Linked DNA regions of Daphnia pulex. The protein of the gene in region 1 purifies or fractionates together with the protein of each later gene. This does not show direct contact. Links are inferred from orthologs where the notes say so. Each region holds a gene or a part of one and is shown in the gene's direction. Other genes may lie near its edges. The genes, in order: CD2 antigen cytoplasmic tail-binding protein 2 homolog, probable small nuclear ribonucleoprotein E, small nuclear ribonucleoprotein Sm D1-like, U4/U6.U5 tri-snRNP-associated protein 2-like, small nuclear ribonucleoprotein F, U4/U6 small nuclear ribonucleoprotein Prp3-like and U4/U6.U5 tri-snRNP-associated protein 1-like.

Region 1 (3,193 bases):
ATGGATTGTGTATTATGGTAAGAAAGCCTGCAATTGAGCTTATACATTATCTGAACAAAACAAATTTTGATGCTCCAGTTCTTAGATATGTGCTGTGTAAGTTACCTTTTTTTTCATGCCTTTAATAATGTTAACAAACCCTTTATAAGTATTACACCATTTATTGCAGATGGAAAGACTGGAGTTGGAAAATCTCTTTCTCTAGCTCATATTGTCCATTATGGTAGCAGTGCTGGATTTGTTTTAGTTCATGTTCCGTGGGGTAAGAACTAAGGAAGATTATTACTAAATATTTTGTGCTAATAATACCATCCTATTCAACTGATTTTTAGTTCCCAAATGGTTTCAATACGTGAAGGTTGCCACTCCTTCATCAGTTCATGCAAATAAGTATGATCAACCAATTGAAGCAGTAGAATGGTTAAAGCATTTTAGCACACAGAATGGACATCTGTTGGATAAATTAGAGGTGATATAAACATATTTATATGTTCTTTTTGTATTCAGTAGTTTTAAGCCAATGCTTTTCTATGTGTACTCATTATGGGTTTTCTGAACTTAAAATAACAGCTGAAGACAAGTAACACCTACACTTGGAGTAAACGAGAAGTGACTGCTGAAGGATCTCCTCTGAGTGAATTGATAGATTTGGGTCTCAACAGGGCCAAATATGCAACTGGTTGTATTGTTGCTTTGTTAGATGAACTTAAAAAAGCCGCTTCAAGCAAACAGTACGTTTCATAATGCAATTTTGAATCATATTAAACCACGGTTATCTTACGCAGATGCCGCGTTCTCGTGGTTATCGATGGATTTAATTCTTTCTTTTCACGGAAATCGAACGTGATCAGGGAAGACAAATCCATGGTTTTACCCTCAGACTTTTTGCTAACGGATGCATTATTGTCTCTTACAAGAAATGATTGGGTATAAAACATAAATAGTGATTATTGGAATGTTATTTGATTTCAAAATATGGGTTGAATTTAGAATAACGGAGCCGTCGTAGTATCAGTTGATCCATCGGCTCATCCTCCGGAACTGCGTGAATCACCTCTGCCTAGATATCTTCTTGGAAAAACAGTATTTCAATTTATGGTATTCATACAACAAATTAAACAACTCCGTTGCCATCCATCTAGGGTTTCGAACATCTAGATCCTTTCGTCCCGATCGAAGTACAGAACTATAATGACAAAGAATTTCGTTCGCAAATCGACTATTACATTGAACGAAATTGGCTTCAGCAACCGAAAGCCCGCACGGACAATGGACGAGCTGAACTGAGTTTTACTAGTGGCAAGCATCCATACAGTTTAATGAGACTTGTTGCTCCATATTGATTGGATGATTATTAACAATAAAAATAAAAGTCAAATAATTCTTAGTCCGAAATCATTTATTTAAAAATACATCGAGAAGACGCGTTCTTTAAATCTGTTTGTCTCCTTTATCCTAGAATAATCAATTCGAGTTTTATCAAAGAAAATGCCGAAAAGGAAACACCAGGAATTAGAAGAAGACACGTTAGAAACAGGAAATGTCGACCAAGGAGATTTTTCTGACGGAGATGACAGTGGTGAAGATGATGAAAAAACTGAAAAGTATGAGATGATGCGAGAAGATGATATAGAAGGTAATAGAAATAAAATATCAGTTTCGAAGAAATTATCCACAATTCATTTCTACTGTCCCAACAGGCCAAGAGGACCCTACCCAAGAATTTGATGGAGAAGTTCAGATTACACCATTTAACATGAAAGAAGAAATGGAAGAAGGGCACTTCGATAAAGAAGGGACATACATTTTTGGAAAGCGGGAGAAAGATGAAGTGAAAGACCATTGGCTGGACAACATAGATTGGGTTAAAGTGAATTCTCAAGCAGCTTCCAACAAAAATCCATCAGATGAAGAAAGTATGGATACAAATGATTACTTGAAGAAATTTGATCCCATTCCTGTATATAAAGAAATGCTGGCCATACTTTTACCTGGTGAAACAGTTCTAAAAGCTTTGAAAAGATTAGGAGGTGGTAAAGTTCAAACAGCATCTGAGCGATGGAAGAAAAAGAAAAAGCAGCAAGACGAAGGAGACCACCAAACAAATGAATTGAATAAGGAAAACATAGCCAAATTAACTGAACATGCGAATAGCATTCTTTCTAATATGGGAAACATGGATGTTTATCAAGAAACTTTTGAAGGGATACGTTTCAAGATTAAAAAATCAGAAGAACCTGTGACGCAATCGACAAATGATCTCGATATGTTTGGAGATATGTTCGATGAAAAAAATAAAGCTGACTCCAATAAACGGGAATCGGAGTCAGTCCAAGGAGAACCCATTACCAAGAAGGTTCGGTTTGATGAAGGCGAAGGTCAAGCTAAAGAAGACGAAGTAAAACCAGAAACTGTACAATGGGAATTCAAATGGAAACAAGAAGAAGATGCAGAAATACACGGACCGCATAGCACATCAGAGATGCTTGACTGGGTTTGTTATATGATTATTAGTGTTACTTTGGCTAATTATTGTTCTAATATACCACATATTTATAGGTAAACCAAGGATACTTTGAATCGGGTGTTTGGGTTCGCCGTGTCGGACAACCAGGAGATTTCTATACCTCACGGCGAATCGATTTTGATCTATACCTTTGATTCGTATAATAATACATGTCCTTTCACTTTTATTACCTAATGATGAGAGCATGAGACGCTATTTAATTAATTATTTTTCAGCAACTTGATCAAGATATCAGACATTTTTATTCTTTAGTTTAGTTACTTCAGTAAACATCTTCATTTTAACAATTAAACGGTGCCCTACCGGTTTACGGTACTACCGGGTTGCAATGTGTTAGTGGCACGGGTTATCATCACTATTCATGTATCATGTATATTGATTTAATACCAAGATCTACCGGTTCACCACGATTCAGCGTAAAATACAAGCAAAAATCGAAAGCTTTAATTTTCGATAACGTAACGTTAACAAATAATGTGAACCATCTGTGAACCAAACATAGCCGTCTAATTGATTACATATAACGTGTATAGTTAGTTATTCAAAAACAAGAGAAACCATTTTAGAGTACTTTATATACGTATAGTTGCATGGGAATTGAAAGTCGACGCTTTCCTTCGGAAATAAACAAACAAATTTCCATTAAATTTCCCCCGTTAGATTATG
Region 2 (2,340 bases), on another chromosome or scaffold:
CCAAGGCGAGAACAGCCCAAAAGTTGACATTAAATGAAAAGTATTAGCAGTATTAGCTGTGATTCTGTGAATTTTTCCAAGCAGCAAGCATCAGTTGTTGTAAGGAAAGGAACGGCAGATCGGCGCAGAACGGCCACACGCCACAAGGCCACAGCCCACAGGCCCAGTCAGCAGAGTAATAGAAAAATATATTAATTCTACAGGTTTTTTGGCATACGGGAGGATTAGTTCAAATTTCGCCAATAGATGGCTTTTTGGAATTTTGAACTGCGCGCGTAGAAATTGGAAAACGGTTTGAACTGCGCGCCTCGAAAATGAAAAACAGTTTGAACTGCGCGCGTAGAAACTGGCATCTAGGCTCTAGCGACCAAAAGTAAAAGTTAACTGGCATCTATCTAGGCTCTAGGCGGCCTAGAGCCTCCGCCACAGCACACACCTAAGTCACACCCCAATGTTTGAATGTTTGACATAACTTTTGAATGTTTCGATATGTTTTAATTGATTTCGATATGTATTATTTTTTATTAGTATACGATTTCAAGTAAAAATATCGAAATAACTTAAACGAAGCGTAAGAGAGGGTGGGTGTTGTGGTTTGGTTTGTTCTAACTGTTTACAGATTTATCTGTAACTATAACTAATTATTTTTTATTTCATATTGCTTATGAAAATAATAAATTTTGCTGTTACTTAAGCTAAAAAGAGAGTGCGACGTGGGGTGGCGGGGCGAAGCCTCCGCCACACCTAAGTCGCACCCCTTATGATTCACAGATATTTTTTGATGTTCCGATAGGCCTTGTTTGATTGATACTATTTAATGTAAAAGTATAACAGTAATTTAAGCGATTAACGAAGCAAGAGGGGGGGGGCGGGGGTGGCAGGCGAAGCCCGTCCCCCCTCCCATTCACCATACCGATAGATTCATGTAATTAATTTTGAATTTCATGTTTACTTTACTTTTGCTTTTTTAAATTTTTAATTGATATTATTTCCTACGGGAACCTCGCAAACCGGAACGGGATGCCAGCATAAAAAAAGTAATATTCTGTTACTCTGGCTTGGCTGCTTGGCTGCTTTGCCTGCTTGCCTTTGCCGCCCTTGTCTTTTTGAAAAATATCGGAAAATCCCTACGAGGAAATAAATATCTGGCAACGTTGTTGGCAATTGAGCGTCTGTGTTCGTTTCTTCTTCAACAAAAAGTGTAAACTCAAACAACTCTCATTTAGAAATTTGATAATTTTCCCGTGTGGAATCAATTAAATATCAATTCAAGATAAATGGCAGCCCGAGCACCTAAAGTCCAGAAAGTGATGGTTCAACCCATCGTAAGTTTTCACCACTATCACTTCGATTTCAGCACGAAGATTTATTAACCGGCACGTGTGTCAAAAATGTCTTTTTCCAGAACTTGATTTTCAGATACCTTCAGACAAGATCAAGAGTAGACATTTGGCTTTATGAGAACATCAACATGCACATGGAAGGACACATTGTTGGATTTGATGAGTACATGAACATTGTTCTCGATGATGCAGAGGAAGTCTACGTCAAAACAAATGTCAGAAAACAGATTGGTAATGACGTTTTCATTTACTCACAATTATTCTGTCTTCTAAATGCTGTTTTATTTTAGGACGGGTGTTGCTGAAAGGTGACAACATTACTCTAATCCAAAATGCTGCAGGAAGTGGAGACGACTAATCTTCCTATATTAATTGGTCAGAATGCATTCCCAATTTGTGTTCTGTCGTGTATTACCTTTGATTAACGGGGAACTGATTTTGTGTACATCCAATCTTGATGTGCTGACTGATAAGAAAAACATGATGCTACAACCACACTTGAATATTTCATTCTCAACATCTATTTATTATTTTTTAGTTTTATATAAATTTCCCTAGTAATATTTTCCAATATTTATTTTGATGAAGCCTAGCCACTTTTACACATGAAAAATGTCTCCGGCAAGAGAATAATTTACACAATGACAAGAATAATCATGTTTTGAAAACAAGTCATTTCATGTGGACTACAATAATAAAAATAACCTATTGCACAACATTGTGTAACCACTTAAAATAGAAGGTACAAGTATAAAATCAATAAAAGTATCAATGATATCAGCCTGTTAGGTGGGGGGTGTACAACATAGCAAAGAGTGAAAACTAGCAAAATTTCAGACCCTAAAAATAAAGTAGTGTTTAAAATAATTACACATACATAATTATCAATTTATTATGACACTTCGATAACAGAGAAGCTGTTGCAATTCAAACTGGAATTGCTATTGTGTCTAGAACCGCAGCCCGAAGGCGAGGGTGACGGGTTGGACGACGAATC
Region 3 (2,853 bases), on another chromosome or scaffold:
TTTCCGCTTTGCATTATCGAGTTGATTCAGTTTTAAATCTTCATCACGATCAAAAGGTTTTCTTTCTTTAGGACCGGACGAGTTGTCTTTCTATAGAAACAAAAATCTTACTTCAAATTACCCCAACTTTAACAGCAAAAATAAAAATGTAGGATTACCTTGCTTTTCATTTCCTTTTGATGTGTCTTCAACAAACTCTCTGACCTCTTCTTGGATTTATCATGCATGGCCACAATTTTCTCAAGCTTCTTATTCCTTTTTTGTTCCAAGTATTGTTTCCTCATTTCAGCTTCAAAATCCTCATCTTTTTCTTTGGATGTACTAGGCTGCTAAAATTATATTAATTAAATTATAGAAATTAGCAATGACCAGCTAAGAAAATTTCATTATATGTGTATCTATTGTACTATCTGAACCTTGGAAGTTGGTGTTGAAGTCCATTGATCTCTCCCTACAACCTCAGGTTTGTCAGAACGATTAAAGACACGAGGTCCCAGGCCAAAGTTTTTCCTTTTCAGTTCTGGAAGCTCAATCATCCAATCTTCTCTTTTTGGTTGCTTGTTGGCTTCATCATCATCCACACCAAGCAACTTCCTCTTCATCTTAAGAGCCCGCTGTTCAATGTCAACTGATGAACTATGTTCAGCATCCATACAATCAGCTGGCAGTGGTCCAATAACTTCATCATCTGATGAAGAGTCAACTTCATGATTAACAGAGCATCCTCTGTCATTGGAGATATTTGATTGCACTAACTTGCTGGACACTTTCTGTGATTTTAAATGAGCGGGAAGTGCTGGTCCGTAGAGATCACCTTCATCAGAATCTGAATCATCATTTTCATACGCTGTTTGAAGATGAGGAGGTAATGTTGGTCCGATTCGAGACATTTTGAGAGGGAAAAATTAAAACCACGCGGGAAATTGAGAATGCGTTACCGACAAAGAATTATTTTTAAAAAATCGAAAATAGGTGAAACCGAAACCCAATGTTTAGCTTACTGGAAATGCTGTTATAGTATGCAGGCCTGTCTCATGTGTTTTCTGTTTTGGAGTACGTTTTATTGTCACTCATGTCATGCCACTTGTGTTCTATGCGGTTCTATGATACGCTTCGATAATGCTTCTGGATTTATGAATTTATTTTGATAAATAAATTTAAAATAATAAAAAAAAATTATTATTAGTTAATTTTTGATTAAAATATGCAAAAATAAACCTTGTCTAATAACAAAATTCAAAATATTTGCGTAGATGGCGCTACGTTACAAGTACAAAAATCATAGTCATCGACCGTTATGAAATATGAAATGTCACAGGGCCTTTTTAGTATAAGTTATGCTTCCAACAAGCAGTTTTGGTTTTTGACTAGCGTACCTCGTGCGTTTCACTAAACTAAGGATTAAAACATTCAATAAGTCGTATATGGTGATTTACTTTATTACAGCCATCAAACAACAAGTTTATCAAAAATGAAATTAGTGAGGTAAGTTTCGGAATATGTTCATTGTCAAGTAAATTCGTACAGAAAGTAGCCACAAAAATCGGTTTGGTCTGGGTATTAAGCCGGTTGTTGGATGCGTCTGGGAAACTATGCCGTTTCTATATTTCACAACTTAAATAGTTCACTGCTTTCAATTGAAATAAATACCATTATTTTGTATAATCCTTAGGTTTTTGATGAAACTGAGCCACGAAACAGTCATTATTGAATTAAAAAATGGTACTCAGGTTCATGGAACAATAACAGGTAATTCAATTTTGTTGTCTTTATTCGATTTTTTATTTTACTGCAATCCTTAAATACTTTCTTCGAAAACTTAGTGAAATTGCAAACACATAAGTGACATTTTAGAAGAAAAGTTTTCCGTTTTGTATATTACTAAATTCATTCATTTGATTATGTTTTATAGGAGTTGATGTTGCTATGAACACTCATTTAAAAGCTGTGAAAATGACAGTTAAAAACAGAGACCCTGTTCAGCTTGAAACTTTGAGTATTAGAGGAAACAACATCCGGTACTACATTTTACCTGATTCACTTCCTCTTGAAACCTTACTATTGGATGATTCTCCGAAAGCCAAGGCCAAGAAGAAGGATGCTAGCGGTAGAGGTAAACTTTTTTCCCCTTATCACTGTGTTCCTCTTTTCATTTTCTTTTCTTTTTTTAGCTCGTGGAAGAGGCCGTGGACGCGGAGCTGTCAGAGGAGGACGTGGACGAGGACGTGGACGTGGTGCTACTGGTCCTCGACGCTGAAATTTGTAATTTCCAACGATTTTCCATTTTTTTTTTCGTTCTTTTCAGCAAATGTGGAATCAGTTTTCATTTGCATTACAAATTGTCATTGTCTTATATGTTTTTTGGTCAGTTGAAAAGTCCTTAAAACAAACACTTTTTTCCCCACAGTTGAGTCTGTATGAGAATTATTTATCAATTCCAATTGACTCCCATGTAAGCATAGATAATTTGTAGAGAACCGTCAATTCCTTTTCTTGATTTATAAGCGGACATCGCATAACGTTTCCTTGCTTATTTCAAGAATATTGACTATTCTTGCCATTTTGTCAGAGGAGTCGGGGAAAAAACAAGTGTAAAGAGCGGTGTAATAAGTAATGAAAGTTTGATGGAAATGAAAGTTAAATTACTTTTCTATTAAATTTAGACTAAAACTATTCAATTTTTTGTGACTAAACCATTAAACTTTAATTTAAATTAAGAATGTCGCAAATTTAAGGAAAACTTGACATGTTTAAGAACAGTCGTGGCTACAAGTTTTATTTGCTTTTGTAACTTCAGTTTAAGAGGTATTTGCGTTTAAGAGGCTTTCGGCGATATCTGCTCCTAATTTTCTA
Region 4 (4,181 bases), on another chromosome or scaffold:
TTATTTCTGTTACGAGCGGGAAATAAATGAAACCTACATTGTTGATGCCGCAATCAGATTCAAAGAAAATGACAGTGTCAGTGTTGCTAAGAGTAGCGTCCCCAACACGGTGAATTGTTTCCAAACCAGTAGCCAAGCCATCGTGCAAAAAGACACCGCCATTTACGCCGGGGTAAGCATCCCATCTATTTAGGAAATTTCAGAAAATTCATATTTACTAAAAATAAAGTTGATTGTCAATTTTTCCCGTCATACGTAAAGCTAAAATCGCCATCTGGAAGCTGAATACGGTCGTATCCTAGCAGGACTATCTGCTCGCGAACTAAAGCCAAAACCTAAAATATAAAATGTTTTTAAAAAGACAAAATTCAGTAAATCAAAGAACGAAATTGAATTATATTACAAATACCTCGTCCATGTATTCATTGGCATTTCCTGCTTCCCCACTTCGAGCACGATTCATCAAATGTTCAGAGGCCGGAAAGGAAAGACGAAGAAGCGGCTCGCCTTTTCCAGAAACGGGGCGTCGAATTCCAGCACCTACCAAAAGTAATGACAAAATTAAAAATTATGGTCGTTAGAAATTTAGAATCAACCCAATCAAGGAACGAGTAACAAATATGAGCAAACCATTGGAAAGGGTAAAAAGGCAGAGCAAAGCGAAAATGCCAACCACTTTCATGACGAACGAACACAATTTCAGTTTAAAGTTAAAGAAAGAAACCGTGTCCTTTTGAGAAACAGAAAATGCAAACTGCACACGACCAATTTATACAAAAATTATTGGTCTATCAATGATTGGGCAATCGATCACTTCTTGATTAGAAAGTGATATAAATGGGTTTTTCAAAGATTATGATTGTGACATCGAACTTGATTTGACTAATCTGATAATCCGTATTGCGTGCTAAAATCAAAGGGCAAACAAAATTACCCAATGATTATATTTTTGTACACCTTCGAAGGACGAACTTATACAAAAAAAAACATTCTATTGAAAATGAATTACGAAATTCTAATTCACCAATTGCTTAGTTGATTTTTAGAAACCCGGAAATTGCTTGTTTCCGGGTTTATGGTTCAAGTAAGCAATTTGTATCCAGGCAGAAAAAATCTACACTATGCTGAACATCATTATCTGAACCATGAATATCGCTTTCAAAATATAGACTTCTGTTGACATAAGTTAATCAAGGTAAACAGAGTTCTGATAATACATCCAAACAAATTCGAGACAAACTCTAAACTTTGAGATGATTACACAACACCCAAGACCCAACAGCGTTACCAGACACAAAATAAGGGTTTTTTAGTTAGTTATCAGGATAGTAATTCAAACGATAAAAAATAGTAGCCCCATCTTGTACAAATAATTATTTACTTGACGCATGACCATGATAATCAAACGAAATTTTGAATCGCGTTACAAGATTTGAATGAAGTAGTTCACGCCATCTACAGGACAATAATTCTACTTTTTCGTTTACCGGCATTAACGCGTTGCATTCGTTTTATGTGTCTGCTATCCTTTCCGTAACTCTGCATTCGAGTTTCCTTAATTCTTAAACAATAAGAAAAGCTGTCAATTTTGGCTCTTGGGGTAAATATCTTTTCAAAAATGGGGACGGAAAAGAGTGATATAAAGCGCAAACATGAAGATTTCGATGATGAAGACGAACCCGTCGTGAAAACAAGTATTGTTGTCACTATCCACAAAACCAAATAATAAATATAGTGCAATCCGTGTAACAACTTTTACTGATAAAAATTCTAGGAGAACCAATTGCCAAATCTCGTTTGTGTCCTTATTTGGACACAATAAACAGGACAGTTTTGGATTTTGATTTTGAAAAACTCTGTTCAGTCTCGCTCACAAGGATTAATGTCTATGCATGTTTGGTGTGTGGGAAATACTTTCAAGGTAAATTTGAAGTTAAACAGCAATATTCACATATTTTAAATTGTTTCAAATGAATTCTAGGAAGAGGCCCCAGCACACATGCATATCTTCACAGTGTGGGAGAGGGACATCATGTTTTTTTGAACCTTCACACCCTAAGATTCTATTGTCTGCCAGACAACTATGAAATCATTGATTCATCACTCGATGATATCAAATATGTCTTGAATCCAACATTCAAAAAAGCAAATATTGCAGTGTTGGATGTCATTGATAAAGTATCTAGGTCTTGTGATGGTACTCTTTACCGTCCTGGAGTAGTTGGACTCAATAACATCAAAGCTAATGATTACTGCAATGTAGTCCTACAGGTAATGAAGTAGTAAACTATAAATTAAAATAATAAACTTTACTTACTTTTGTATTAGGCTTTATCTCATGTTGTTCCACTACGCGATTACTTTCTCAGGGAAGAGAACTACATTGGTATCAAGCGTCCTCCTGGAGACAATAACGTCATCTTAGTTCAGCGTTTTGGTGAATTGATTCGTAAGCTTTGGAATCCACGCAACTTTAAGGCTCACGTTTCCCCCCACGAGATGCTCCAGGCTGTCGTTCTGTGCAGTAAAAAGAAATTCCAAATTACAAGCCAGGGTAATATTAAATTATGAGAATTGTTATTAAAATTTTACCTTGCTAATTCTTCATTTTCCATATTTCAGGTGATCCAGTGGAATTTCTTTCGTGGTTTTTAAACGCGTTGCATCTGGCATTAAACGGTACCAAGAAGCCAACTTCTTCAATCATCTACAAATCTTTTTTGGGAGCAATGAAAATTCATTCTCAGCGAATCCCACCCATCGATGCCACTGATACAGAAAAGGATGCACTGATGTTGACTGCCGAATACGTCGAAACATTTGTCGATTCGCCTTTCCTTTTTCTGGCAGCCGACTTGCCTCCCCCTCCTCTGTTCAAAGATGAATTTCGCGAAAACATCATTCCACAGGTTTGCCAAAATCAATTAGCTTGTAGCATTAATTAAAAGCTAGATCGAGTCTTTTGTTGATTTTTCAGGTATCTCTGTTTGCATTGCTGTCTCAATTCAATGGAGTCCAGCAAAAGGAATACAAGACCTACAAGGAAAATTTTTTGAAGAGATTCGAATTGACAAAACTGCCACGTTACATTATTCTCAACATCAAGAGATTCACGAAGAACACGTTTTTCATAGAAAAGAATCCCACCATCATAAACTTCCCCATCAGGTAAATAAAATTACCACACCATTTTTTGTTGACTGTTACAAAATTGAGATGTGCTTTTAGGGGTGTGGATTTTGGCGATATTCTAGGTGCAGATGTTCGCGCCAAACACGGATGTACCACATACGATCTGTTAGCCAATATTGTACATGATGGAGAACCAACCAAGGGAACTTATCGTGTTCACATACTTCATAAGGTAAATTCGTTTTATTGTTGACCAATAATCACAATAAACTTCACGAGTCAATTGCTTCTATTAGGCGACAGGAAAATGGTTTGAAATGCAAGATCTGCACGTGACAGAAATTCTTCCGCAGATGATCACTCTCACAGAAGCTTACATTCAGGTAGAAAAAAAAATACAATAAAACGTTATTATGTCCCATTTAAAATGTTCAAACATTTTAGATATGGGAACAATCTACGGAAAGAAGCGACGTTGAAATGTCCAACTGAAATTTCTGTCAAAAGTGTAAAACCCGAGTTGAAATAAATATTCAAATTCGTACTAAAGCATTAATGTGAGACTTCTTATTGGATTGAATAAAATTAACACACCACGTCGCGAGGAAAACGAACCATGTTTGATTACACAAGATGCAATAATACACAACTTATTTCGTTTTTTTTTGTTTCATTTATCTTGCTCCAAACGATGTTGTGTGGCAAAACAGGGAAAAAGGAGTGATTTGTTTAATTAAGAGAGAAGAAGTGGGTTTGAGAATGCAGAGCAAAATAAAGAAATCTTGAAACAAACACGTAAGAGACAACCCCCAAAGAGGACAGAAGGGATGAAAAAATAAAGGGTCGTAGTGAAAAATTAGATTCACACCGCGCAATCAAATTGTCCTTCATGAATTCCGCTCGTTTGCTACTCTTTTTCCCTTACATACACTCGCACAAAGTTTCTTCAAAAATCAGACCAGCATTCGATCGAATTCAAATAGCTTATTTTTTTGCGGTGAGCAGCGGTGGGGTGATTTTTATTTTATGCTACAAAAAATTGGAAAACG
Region 5 (2,732 bases), on another chromosome or scaffold:
AAGAGTGCTGAAACCTTAAAAATACCTGTATAAGGAAGTTTTAAAACTGTTGGATTGGCAGAAGAAGCATCTTGTGAAGATCTTTCCCCTTTATTCAATCCTGAAGCTGCCTCCAATAATCCAATTGCAGGGGATGGCGAAGAGGGCTGTGGATGTAATGTTGGATTCAATAAGGAAACTCCGATGACACCATGACTTGCAGAGCGAACATGTCCCTTAACTCCACCCGGCCAACCCCTGCTTGGCAGGGGGTTGACAGTTTCAAGCTCTATTGGGGGTTGCATCACATCAGGAAAAATGTAGGTGGTACCCGGTGAATCAAAATCCATACCGTCCCTGAAAATGAGAGAGTACCAAATTCAATTACAATTGAATTTCTTTAACCATTCACGAAACTAACTGTCAAGCTTGTGACTACCAACAACCAACTCAAAATCAACACAAACTTCTGAGCAATGGAAAAGGGAGAGTTATTTACTCACCAAACATCTTATTTCAATATTGCTGAAAAAGACAAGTCAGCTTTTGTTTTCAAAAAATGTCCATGGCAGACTAAAATCAACAAATCGTCTTAACAGTGGAACGATTGTTCGTTTATTTGGTCCAATGATGGAACCCAGTGAGGAAATGGAAGAAAAACAATCGGTTGGAAAGTGACGTCAACTTTAAAAAAAGTGCAAAAAGATGAAAGAATGGTAAGATAGAGTTTAGTGTCAGCAACTGAGCAACTTGTTGTGTGTCCACGTATATAACGGCAAATTCCAGCTGTGCACTGCTTTCAGCCTCTGCTGCATACACCGTACAAGCTTTACTGCCAGATTTTACACTCGGTAACCGATAATAAAGGAAATTGCGCGGAATGGACACCGGAGTGAAATAAGAAACCGGTTTGTTGACCGTTTAAAAGCTTCCAAAATGTAAAATTGAACCTAAAAAGTCTTTCTGTATCAAGACAAACTGTGATAAATTCCTATCTTTTTAATTCCGCGAAACGCAAAACCCTCTTTTATTACTTTTTAGAGAGCGCTAATTCTGGTTGTGAAGCTTCTCTGTTCTTGCCAATTTGTTAAAAAGACTTTTCATATCCACGACCACGAGTCACTTATTAAACAAAATCACTTAATAACGATACATAAAAAAAAATTCTCCTTTGGTTGTAAATTTTTCCAGCTATTATGATTGAAAACAGAATAGGTGACGTGAGTTTTTGGTCCGGAACCAGAGATCCGGGATCGTTGCTCTACGATGGATATCTCATTACATTACATCAAAAAATTATTTAAATAATCCTATTTTATAAGGTAATTTTAGTTCACTAGTTATTAGGTTTAAATATGTAAATTTCTTTCCTACAAAATGGAAAAACTTTCTCAAAATTTGATGTACTTAATAAGACGACTTGGCAACCCTTACTTCTGATCTTTACGTTACAGAACGTGTAAACTGAAATAACGCGGCTTGACTCGCTTGTCAAACATTCAATCAAATTTTGTAAAATCGTTGACTAAAACAAATACAAATCATGGCAGTAAGTTCAAAACCTAAATCTTGTTGGGTGGTCCTTTTTAGCCGACCATTTACTAACATGTTATATTTCATATTTTCAGGCACCCATGCCCATCAATCCCAAACCCTTTCTCAATGCCTTAACCGGCAAACCGATTATGGTAAAACTGAAGTGGGGCCATGAATACAAAGGTTATCTCGTTTCAGTTGATGGATACATGAATCTTCAGGTACTGTAATAATTATACCATGTAGTGCATTTTCATCAGTAAAAAAATGAAAACATGCTGTTGCACGAAACAGTGTGCATATATGAACAATGGCAATAATTCTTCTTATATTATCACAGTTGGCAAACACAGAAGAATATATTGATGGAAGCTGTACTGGAAACTTGGGTGAAGTTCTTGTCAGGTGCAACAATGTACTTTACATACGTGGAGTGGAAGAAGATGATGAGGAGGGAGAAATGAGAGATTGATTGCTGTTTGTATTGAATTTTTCATCCTTTAATACATAATGTCATTTCCTATCTATCTCATAGAAGTTATTGTATAGGAAACCTGGAAACCCTAAAAAATATGTTCTGGTGTATACATTACAAGATTCCCACAGACAACGAAGGACAAACAAGTAAAAAAACAGCTTTTCAGTATCCAAATTCCAAACACAGAACCGTTGTCTACCGTATTGGTGATTTAATGTTAAGTATACTGGAATTTCTTACGTTCCGGCGATTTTTTCCATTTAGTCGGAAAATAAAGGCTTTGTCTAAATGGAAAATGGTTAAGCTACCTTATGAATGAAGTTAGTAGGCAGCCCGCAGTCCCGCATGCTCGTAAAACTCAAGTCACATTTCTTTTCCACTTACACCAACTTGTTCGTAAATATATTTTGTAAGGTATAAATCAAAAAGGCAAACAAATCCGGAAACACCTTTTCCGATTGGCTCACGCTGGTACCAGCTGATGTCATAAGAATACCTAATTGCTTATGAATATTAATTGTTCAATACGTTTCAATTGGCCTGCATGTAACACGGCTGTTAACACTATAGGACGGTAAGCATGCGCAAGTTATCACTGTCGTTTGAACGTTAGGGGAGTTATAGGCTGTTGAACTCCGAGATGAATTACTACGGTTTGAAACAAATAATAAACATTGTACAAATGTACGTTCCTAACTAGACAACGAAGATTAAAACGTTACTGTCAGGATCACATTTA
Region 6 (4,007 bases), on another chromosome or scaffold:
AAATTCTTAGATGAATAGCAAATCTTTTAAATTGCAAAAACCAATTTTTTTTTTTTTTACAACAAGCTACATCAAAGATTTCAATTTTTTATGAGAAACTCAAAATATGTTTCTTGGGTTATGATTTTGGCATTTGCAATTATTGCTACTAATCATTCAGTTTCTTCTCGACGTACACGTAATCCTTTTTGGTTTCGAATACCCTCAGAGCTCCCCGATTCCAACCAACTAATTTTTTTTTTTCCGTGAGCAACCTCATCCTTTCCTTTTTCCCCTCCCTCTTGTAATACACAAAATAGCTGTGCGTCGAATAAACATGATTCTCATTTTCTTCCCCTTTCTATTTGTAGCGTACACAGCAAGGTTATTGCTCTCTCTGGATGGGATTGTTGTGGGATTTGGATTGCATTGGATTTGGATTTCATTGGAATGGATTTGGATGGATGCATTGTGGATTGATAGGTGACAGGATCTGGAGGATATGCTGGAAACAGCAACCGCTTCTCCTTTGTCTACAACCGTCGTGGTGAATCGCTGTGGACTTGCCTTGTCAGGACCCGTTTATTTTAAAGAGATCTGTTGGACTCCGGCACTTTGGAATTGAGCCCGACCTAAGACAAGAGTTAACTTAGGATTGCTTACCCTTTGATTTTCAGGCACTTTTTTCATCATCATACAGAGAAAGAAGAAACCGACGGATGACGACAAAATGGAAATAATACATGCCTTGCAAATGGTGATATTTCCTTGGAGTACAAAGAAATTCCTTCGATGTTTACCGATACTTCTGTTTTCGGCACATTGGAAACAGTATTACCATTTTAATGACAATTTTTTTATGTATGATACGATTTAATACAACCAGTGAAATGCTTTTGAAAAAAAAATTATGACCAAAATTATTCTGTTCTCTAGACTAAAACAAAAATTTGATGACGTGTTTAAAATACAAAGTTGCTTTTCGTCTTAAACACAGAAAGAACAATTAAAACAATTCGCATTACGATTACTCACCATAGAAACTTAACGTAGAAACTGTTTCAGAGAAAAAAAATAGGTTTTTGTTTAGTTTTGATTTCTTTCTAAATTTATATCTCCTTGTCCTTGGAACCAAAAATGAGAAACAAAAATGCTTTGAACTTGAGCGCTTGCTTCTTCTTTTTCTTTTTACGAAAGTCCCAGTACTTCCTTAAGATTCCTCTAGATGGCGTCTTCGCGTTGCTTGGGTAACCAAAAACGTATAAAAACGTACAAATTTTCCCCCAAAATAGTGTAATTACACATTCACTTTGAGCATACTCAAAAAAACATATAGTTTGAAATTATATATTTGTACAGCGTTTTGAGTTTATCATCTGAATTTCTACGATTTTTCTGTGCATCAATAGGCTCTTATCGGTTGTTAACCGGTCTCTAAACAGAGCAAGTTTAGACCTGCAGTTACGAACTACAGTGGAAGATTGAAGCATTGGTAAGAATAATTTTGTTTTTTCTTCAATAAACCGATGATTTTATTTCACAATACATTCGTCATTTGTCATAGATTAAACATTGTTAGAAGATATTTTCAGTACGTTGAAAATTGTCACTATAATAACATTGTAGCAGAATGTTTCTCTTCAGTAAACAACAACTTTTCTTTCTTTTTTTTTAGGCATCTGTGATATAGGTTTTTTGGGGTATTTCCAATCATGGCTACTACAAGCATAAAAAGACCTAAAGAAGAAGATTCACTCGATGGACCTGGTCGAGAAGCAAAAAAGTTAAAATCACGATTCCAGGATGACAGCAATGGAGATGGAAAGAGTGACCAGGATACTACTGAACAACTCTCTTCTTCTCAGATTAGAGAAATGATGATGAATGCTCAAAAGATGATTGAGGAAAGGAAACGATCTCTCAATCAACCGCCAGCTCTTCTCAAGACTACCCCAGTGCTCTCATCACTTCCAACACCTGTAGCTCCTAAAGCCGTTCCCCCATCTTCAATGGATGAGCGTGCCAGAAAGATTGCTGAACTACAGGCTCAAATTCAGTCAAAACTAGCCACCTCCACTTTAGCCACATTGAACTTGAGTCTTCCTAAAACAGCCAGTGTCCCTGCATCAACAGGGGAAGGGTCTAATAATGAGCCGAAACCTGGCCCACTTATTCTCAACGCTGATGGAAGGACAGTTGATGCGACTGGTAAAGAGATTGCCTTGGCCCAATACACACCAACTCTCAAGGCAAACATTCGTGCCAAAAAACGCGAGGTGCTCAAGACTCACATGGGCAAAGGATCTCAACAACAAAGCGAGGAAGCGGGAAATTTGACGGAAAGTCGCTTCTTCGATCCACGTGTTGCAGCCAAATCCTCCGTGAGAACACGCAGAACCTTCCACTTTCACGAGCAGGGCAAATTTCAGCAAGTGGCATCTCGAATGCGAATGAAGGCTCAGTTAGACAAATTGCAAAGCGAAATCTCTCAAATTGCCCGTAAGACTGGCATCAATTCAGTCACTGCACTTGCTCTAGTTGCCCCACGAGTTGGCGATCGTCAGGAGGAGGAGGACATTGATTTGGAATGGTGGGACTCGGTCATCTTGCAAACACGAAGCTACGAAGGCGAAGACGGACAGCCCAATTTACGCCAGGAGACGATTACCAATTTAATCGAACATCCCATCCAAATGCGTGCTCCCACCGACCCGCTGGCCTTGCCCTATTTGCCCGTCTTTCTCACCGAGAAAGAGCGCAAGAAGTTGCGCCGCACCACTCGACGTGAAAATTGGAAGGAGAAACAAGAAAATATCCGTTTGGGACTGGAACCGCCACCTCAAGCAAAAGTTCGAATTTCTAATTTGATGCGCGTGTTGGGCAACGAAGCCATCCAGGATCCAACCAAAATTGAAGCTCACGTCCGCGAGCAAATGGCCAAACGACTTCAAAATCACCAGGAGGCAAATGCCTCTCGAAAGTTGACGGCTGACCAGCGACGCGAAAAGAAGGAGAAAAAGCTCCAAGAAGACACGACAACGAGCGGTGTGCATGTGGCGATTTACCGGATCAAGGATTTGTCCAATTTATCCAAGAAATTCAAAATCGAGACCAATGCCAAGCAGCTTTACATGACGGGATGCGCAGTCATTTTCAAGGACGTTAACGTCGTTATAGTCGAAGGAGGCCCTAAACAGCAGAAGAAGTACAAACGCTTGATGCTCAATCGCATTCGGTGGGAAGAGGACGCCGTCAAGGTTAGCAAACACGACACTGGTTCATCCTCCCAGCCCGAAACGCGGAATTCCTGCCAGCTCGTTTGGGAAGGCACGACCAAACAACGCAATTTTGGTGACCTCATCTTCAAACTTTGCCCATCGGAGGTTGTGGCTCGAGAACATTTTCGCAAACACGGCGTCGAACACTACTGGGACCTGTCTTATTCCACAGCAGTGCTGGAAGAAACTGAAGAAAAGTGATCGGTTTCATTCTGCCATCAACTTTAACTCTTTATTTTTTTCTTTTCATTTTTGAACCAAACGTTCATCTTTGAATATTACCATCAATAAAAAGATTTGTCTTTATTTCTTTTTTTTTTCTTTTTTTGTGTACAAAAACGGGGAATGTTATACAGGTCTTCGCAGGAACATGACAGAATATATCCTTTGACGCTGGGCAGCTTTTCAGGCACTCGGTGAATAGAAGGTGTAACGTGGTGTCGTGACGGGTTGCAAAACAAACGATAATCCGACAGTTGTTTGTGTTTGGTGATCTGTTGTTGGTTCTCCGTGACCTATGACGCAGCATAAGGAAAAAGGTGGTATTTATTAGACTAGTTCGTGATTGTCATTTCTAACAGATTTTTTAATAGTTTCCTTTTCAGCGAAATTGAATTTAGAATTTTTTTAAAAGGAGGAAACTAACCGCCCAAGGCTTCAAGTGATGACAGGAGGACAAAGCCGACGAAAACGGATAAAAGCTTAATTAATCCATTGCCGGATTTCCTTCGCTCGCGTTCCAACACTTCG
Region 7 (4,240 bases), on another chromosome or scaffold:
TTTGCCAAATCATAGAATCCTCTCACAATAAACCTTCTTCACTAGTAGCCGTCACAAATCCGCGAGTGAACTCATTGATCATTTTCAGTCAAACAGTTTCAACGGGTATGGCGTCCCCGAATTATTTAGGCAAATCAAGAATGACAATGTTACCCTCTGGTTCAGTAACAAATTTCATAGCAGCTTTGCTGCGGTTAACCGGGAACCTATAAACAGTTGATAACAATATTCGGTAACATACACACACAAGAAATTTAATTTGTAATGTGAAAATAAGATTACCAGTCATGTACTACACCAATATGTCTAGTTGATTTCATCTTGCAAAAAGGAAGAATATGTTCTTTGAGGATGTTGTTGTATGTTCTTGAATCGAACTTGCCAGTCACTCTGCACAGAGAAATATTTGGATGGAACGAAGATATACCACCAAAAAACAACACAGTATTACCAGTTTATTTCTCCGAACCAAAATGCAACTCTATCTTGCTGTTTTTGTCGTAACTGGAATTAGGCAACTTCGAACTGGAATTGAGCAATATTCCTAACGATTCAACAAGCGATTCGCCACTCAAAGAGGCCGTTTTTGATTTAGCGGAAATCGTCGCTAGGGGTTCTAAAAATTAACAAATAGATGGGTTTTGTGCAAAATTTTTCGCTAAGTCGATTGCTGAAAACCGCAATCGCCTAGCTTTTGTAATTTGGGAGATTTTTTTAAAAAAACTGAGAGGGGGTAGCCGAAATTTGGAATTTTTTTCGTTTTTTGTGCAGCAGTTTTCTCGTCAACTGCTGCACCTGGAAATATTCGAATTGTTTCATAATGATGGGATAGCCCACCTCTTCAAACAATTTTCATGTTTTTTCGATGCTCGGCTCAGAAGCCGAGATATTAACGATTGAAATTTTTGAAAAAATTTCTAAAAATTTCTTCGTTTTTCGGCCATGCCGGGCTTCATCCTATAAGCCACCTAGCGCTGCGAAAATCGAGAGGGGGTGGTCACCCCAACAGACCCTATATTCAGGGTAAACGTGGTCCGATTTGGAAACTGGAATGAGCGCTCTAGTGAGTGTGTCAGCTACTACGCTTAGCTACTTTTGAGAGCCTAGATGGCTCTGTTTCCAGTTTCTACTTCACAATTCTGACAAGCTCCGCCCTAAAATGTCTGAAAATCGGGGATACGTTTACCCTAAAACCGGGATAGGGAAGCCAACACAGCCGAGAACCGACCAGGCATCTATTGCTCTGGTTCTGCTATCGGCCGCAGTGGTGCGCATCGGCGTAAACTGCGCAGGACTTTTTGTTCGACTACTACTTTTTCATTGGAATAACATCTATAGTCTTTGAGGCGATCAGCCTACCTCACTAGCGAACCTGGTGCGGAATCTTGGAACCCTTAGTATAAACAAAAATCGACAACGACATTGTTCGTTTTGGACTTTTGGTTTTGCCGCACAAGTCTTCACATGTAAAACAAATAGTTAAAAACTATACTGGCCTTAATGTTTTCATTATGTTTTTCCTTTATTGATTTACGGATAAATTTATCTTCTGTTTTCTTTTTTTAAGTTTTATTCAATAGGAGGATTAACACGCCATCTGTTGCGGAATCAATGGATTTGTATTTGTCCCCGCTTTCCAATCCCGCATTTAGCAATTTACCAACACCCAACGGCATCAAAATAAATATTGCAAAAGCTGAAGTCTGCTTCTCAGTTCTCAAGTTCTGAAGTAAAATTGTTGCAAGATCATTAAGTGAATACAGATTCTGGTACCCTACTTTTATTGTTTGATATTTTAAGGAATTCTATTGAAAAAAATTTTATGTTTAAAGAAATCAAAACTTCCCACCTAAGTTAAACTACTTTCTTTCAGTTCTTAAGGAGACATGGACCGAAAAGAAAGTCGCGATCATAATAATTTTCGAAAAAGAAGACATCGTTCCCCATCTAGGTCTCCGTCAAGATCACATTCAAAAAGTTATGCCTCCGTCAAATCCAAACAAATAAAGGAAGATATAAGTCTCAACATTCAGAGCGAAGAACTGTTGACAGGTATGTATTCAAAATTATGTTTATTAGTAACTAGTAACCAATAATTTTTTTTAAGGAAAAGGGAATGATGAAAGACCAGTTGCTAATTCAACCAATGATACTTCCATTTCGATTGAGGAAACCAACAGAATAAGAGCTGAACTTGGTTTGAAGCCATTGGAGATTGGAGGAGAAAATTCAAATGTTGAAGCCAGTACTGAGAAAAAGGATGTTCATGTCCCAGCAGGTAATGATTTCATTTAAATGTCTTTACTTGTACAATTTAAATGTGGTATTTCTCTAGAGAACCTCCGTGAAAAGAAAGCCACAGAAGAGTTGAGACGAAAACTAGATGAAAGACGAGAAAAGAGGCAAATAGAACAAAAGCTTGCACAAGTGCGCACTCTTGCTCATACAACAGCTGATGATGATGACAATGCTGTTAGCTGGGTTGAAAAATCAAGAAGGATTCAGAAAGAAAAGGAAGAAGCTAATAAAAGAGCAAAAATGCTTGAAGAAATGGATGAAGCATTTGGTGTAGGAGATATGGTAACTACTGAACTGATTAAACAAAAAGCAAAAGCATACACAAGTAGAGACTTACGAGGAATAAAAGTAGAACATGACCGGGTAAGTCACCGACAACGTATACTTTTATTTGAATACCTGTGTTGATGTTGCTTTATTTTGTTAGGAAATGATAGCTGAAGGGAAAGAAGTAGTATTGACTCTTAAAGATCAAAACATCTTGCAAGAGGAAGGGGATGTTTTGGTGAATGTCAACCTTGTTGATATAGAACGCTACAAAAAGAACAATGAAATCAAGAAACAGAGACCGGGATATCAGCCCTATGAAGAGGAAGAAGTTGATGAATTGGGCCTTCCCAAACCAAAGCTCTTGCTTGCTAAATATGACACAGAAATAGAAGGAGAAAAACATGATAGCTTTGTCCTAGGTAAAATATTAGATTTGTTTTGTTGATCTTTACAAAAATATTTATGTTAAAATTCTAGGTAAAATTGGAGATGAAGAAGCCAAAATGAAAGCCCAAAAGTTGATGAAAGACAAACTCAAAATGCAACAGAAGAAAATTGAATCACTGGAATCGCGACCGCTCCAAATTGCATCTGAATATTATACAGCAGAAGAAATGGTTTCCTTCAAAAAAGTTAAACGTCGCGTCAAAAAGGTTCGATCCAAAGGCGACGGCATTTTAAAAGCTGACGATCTTATTCAAGAAACGCAAGAAACAACTTCGTCAGACTTGGGATCGAGATCTCGAAAGAAGAGAATGGATGAAGAGGTCACAGAAGGTATTTTAGTTTGACTAGTATATTGTTTTATTATTACTTATTATGTCTTGTTTATCCAACGCCAGATTTAAGCGGATTCAAGATTACTGTAGACGAATCCCAAAAAGAAATACGTCAGGCACTATTAAAAGCTAATAAACTAAAAGAAAGGAAGGCTGATCAGTGGGACATGAACATGATTACGCGGTCATTAAAACGCGAGCCTTTGGAAGAAACGGAAGGTATGGAAGAGGATCCTCTGAAGAGTAGTATCATACTGAATGCCACAGCAGAATTCTGTCGTACTCTTGGTGACATACCAACCTATGGTATGGCAGGCAATCGTGATGAAGACGAAGATGAGTTAATGGTAATTCATTGCATGAATGTTTTTTTTTTTTTGGTTTTGACTTTAATTAATTGCGTTTCTGTTTTGGCAATAGGATTTCGAGCGACAGTTGGCAGAAGAACGCAGAAGAAATCAAGAAAAAGAAGAGCGAAAAAGGGAGGCTGAGCGTCTTCAAGAACGCGGTGGATGGAATGTTCTGGAACGTGAAAACGATCAAGGTTCCGACGACAGCATGGATGTCGATCGTAATGAAAAGGGTATGTATACTGTGTTCTCGTCACTTTTATTGTTGTCAGTGTTTGCATTTTTTTCTTTTCTCTCTGTAAAATAGATAACGCTACTGTTATCCTGGACGAGGAACCTGATGTCGGCTCGGGAATGGCTGCAGCTTTGAAATTGGCTATGAGCAAAGGCTATCTGGAGAAAGAAGAGAAGAAGAGGATAGTTATTTCTAAGTCCGCCCAAGAGCTGCAGGCGCAGCGCTACACCATAGAAGATAAAGCAGCGTACAATTATTTTGTGTTTTGTTTATACGATATTCAGTTATTCTTATTTTATTTTGTTATT

The links.
Region 2: the proteins of CD2 antigen cytoplasmic tail-binding protein 2 homolog (region 1) and probable small nuclear ribonucleoprotein E purify together in Homo sapiens (affinity purification with mass spectrometry; 3 studies listed by BioGRID and IntAct, counting the BioPlex papers as one, with this or other methods). This does not show direct contact. The link is inferred for Daphnia pulex from reciprocal best matches to the Homo sapiens genes CD2BP2 and SNRPE.
Region 3: the proteins of CD2 antigen cytoplasmic tail-binding protein 2 homolog (region 1) and small nuclear ribonucleoprotein Sm D1-like purify together in Homo sapiens (affinity purification with mass spectrometry; 3 studies listed by BioGRID and IntAct, counting the BioPlex papers as one, with this or other methods). This does not show direct contact. The link is inferred for Daphnia pulex from reciprocal best matches to the Homo sapiens genes CD2BP2 and SNRPD1.
Region 4: the proteins of CD2 antigen cytoplasmic tail-binding protein 2 homolog (region 1) and U4/U6.U5 tri-snRNP-associated protein 2-like purify together in Homo sapiens (affinity purification with mass spectrometry; 5 studies listed by BioGRID and IntAct, with this or other methods). This does not show direct contact. The link is inferred for Daphnia pulex from reciprocal best matches to the Homo sapiens genes CD2BP2 and USP39.
Region 5: the proteins of CD2 antigen cytoplasmic tail-binding protein 2 homolog (region 1) and small nuclear ribonucleoprotein F purify together in Homo sapiens (affinity purification with mass spectrometry; 4 studies listed by BioGRID and IntAct, counting the BioPlex papers as one, with this or other methods). This does not show direct contact. The link is inferred for Daphnia pulex from reciprocal best matches to the Homo sapiens genes CD2BP2 and SNRPF.
Region 6: the proteins of CD2 antigen cytoplasmic tail-binding protein 2 homolog (region 1) and U4/U6 small nuclear ribonucleoprotein Prp3-like purify together in Homo sapiens (affinity purification with mass spectrometry; 3 studies listed by BioGRID and IntAct, with this or other methods). This does not show direct contact. The link is inferred for Daphnia pulex from reciprocal best matches to the Homo sapiens genes CD2BP2 and PRPF3.
Region 7: the proteins of CD2 antigen cytoplasmic tail-binding protein 2 homolog (region 1) and U4/U6.U5 tri-snRNP-associated protein 1-like purify together in Homo sapiens (affinity purification with mass spectrometry; 4 studies listed by BioGRID and IntAct, with this or other methods). This does not show direct contact. The link is inferred for Daphnia pulex from reciprocal best matches to the Homo sapiens genes CD2BP2 and SART1.

The regions. Positions count from the first base shown.
Region 1 is NC_060022.1:6,690,472-6,693,664, reverse strand, and holds CD2 antigen cytoplasmic tail-binding protein 2 homolog, read left to right. Parts: upstream 1-1,406; 5' UTR 1,407-1,488; coding exon 1,489-1,636; intron 1,637-1,700; coding exon 1,701-2,494; intron 2,495-2,559; coding exon 2,560-2,661; 3' UTR 2,662-2,693; downstream 2,694-3,193. Other genes in the region: 28S ribosomal protein S29, mitochondrial-like, read left to right, coding at 1-96, 170-262, 333-469, 571-731, 786-927, 991-1,083, 1,143-1,343. UniProt on the Homo sapiens protein: Involved in pre-mRNA splicing as component of the U5 snRNP complex that is involved in spliceosome assembly.
Region 2 is NC_060026.1:14,103,919-14,106,258, reverse strand, and holds probable small nuclear ribonucleoprotein E, read left to right. Parts: upstream 1-1,152; 5' UTR 1,153-1,277; coding exon 1,278-1,325; intron 1,326-1,405; coding exon 1,406-1,574; intron 1,575-1,633; coding exon 1,634-1,701; 3' UTR 1,702-1,840; downstream 1,841-2,340. Other genes in the region: serine-rich adhesin for platelets-like, read right to left, coding at 2,236-2,340. UniProt on the Homo sapiens protein: Plays a role in pre-mRNA splicing as a core component of the spliceosomal U1, U2, U4 and U5 small nuclear ribonucleoproteins (snRNPs), the building blocks of the spliceosome.
Region 3 is NC_060020.1:8,496,612-8,499,464, reverse strand, and holds small nuclear ribonucleoprotein Sm D1-like, read left to right. Parts: upstream 1-1,322; 5' UTR 1,323-1,471; coding exon 1,472-1,485; intron 1,486-1,672; coding exon 1,673-1,749; intron 1,750-1,912; coding exon 1,913-2,113; intron 2,114-2,171; coding exon 2,172-2,257; 3' UTR 2,258-2,353; downstream 2,354-2,853. Other genes in the region: GPALPP motifs-containing protein 1-like, read right to left, coding at 1-90, 159-329, 417-890. UniProt on the Homo sapiens protein: Plays a role in pre-mRNA splicing as a core component of the spliceosomal U1, U2, U4 and U5 small nuclear ribonucleoproteins (snRNPs), the building blocks of the spliceosome.
Region 4 is NC_060025.1:1,778,991-1,783,171, forward strand, and holds U4/U6.U5 tri-snRNP-associated protein 2-like, read left to right. Parts: upstream 1-1,487; 5' UTR 1,488-1,618; coding exon 1,619-1,694; intron 1,695-1,774; coding exon 1,775-1,921; intron 1,922-1,981; coding exon 1,982-2,271; intron 2,272-2,328; coding exon 2,329-2,554; intron 2,555-2,622; coding exon 2,623-2,909; intron 2,910-2,977; coding exon 2,978-3,168; intron 3,169-3,228; coding exon 3,229-3,364; intron 3,365-3,428; coding exon 3,429-3,515; intron 3,516-3,576; coding exon 3,577-3,624; 3' UTR 3,625-3,681; downstream 3,682-4,181. Other genes in the region: uncharacterized protein LOC124202306, read right to left, coding at 38-185, 256-335, 410-540, 631-682.
Region 5 is NC_060019.1:9,593,662-9,596,393, forward strand, and holds small nuclear ribonucleoprotein F, read left to right. Parts: upstream 1-1,381; 5' UTR 1,382-1,522; coding exon 1,523-1,528; intron 1,529-1,607; coding exon 1,608-1,736; intron 1,737-1,855; coding exon 1,856-1,987; 3' UTR 1,988-1,996; exon of another isoform or gene 1,997-2,038; intron 2,039-2,050; 3' UTR 2,051-2,232; downstream 2,233-2,732. Other genes in the region: phospholipid-transporting ATPase VD-like, read right to left, coding at 26-329. UniProt on the Homo sapiens protein: Plays a role in pre-mRNA splicing as a core component of the spliceosomal U1, U2, U4 and U5 small nuclear ribonucleoproteins (snRNPs), the building blocks of the spliceosome.
Region 6 is NC_060024.1:10,558,570-10,562,576, reverse strand, and holds U4/U6 small nuclear ribonucleoprotein Prp3-like, read left to right. Parts: upstream 1-1,207; 5' UTR 1,208-1,226; exon of another isoform or gene 1,227-1,272; intron 1,273-1,388; 5' UTR 1,389-1,471; intron 1,472-1,654; 5' UTR 1,655-1,691; coding exon 1,692-3,458; 3' UTR 3,459-3,563; downstream 3,564-4,007. Other genes in the region: zinc transporter ZIP3-like, read right to left, coding at 3,663-3,772, 3,904-4,007. UniProt on the Homo sapiens protein: Plays a role in pre-mRNA splicing as component of the U4/U6-U5 tri-snRNP complex that is involved in spliceosome assembly, and as component of the precatalytic spliceosome (spliceosome B complex).
Region 7 is NC_060026.1:10,447,417-10,451,656, forward strand, and holds the start of U4/U6.U5 tri-snRNP-associated protein 1-like, read left to right. Parts: upstream 1-1,440; 5' UTR 1,441-1,466; intron 1,467-1,567; 5' UTR 1,568-1,769; intron 1,770-1,850; exon of another isoform or gene 1,851-1,873; 5' UTR 1,874-1,886; coding exon 1,887-2,052; intron 2,053-2,107; coding exon 2,108-2,278; intron 2,279-2,335; coding exon 2,336-2,661; intron 2,662-2,725; coding exon 2,726-2,987; intron 2,988-3,045; coding exon 3,046-3,345; intron 3,346-3,410; coding exon 3,411-3,694; intron 3,695-3,767; coding exon 3,768-3,930; intron 3,931-4,004; coding exon 4,005-4,179; intron 4,180-4,240. UniProt on the Homo sapiens protein: Plays a role in mRNA splicing as a component of the U4/U6-U5 tri-snRNP, one of the building blocks of the spliceosome. May also bind to DNA.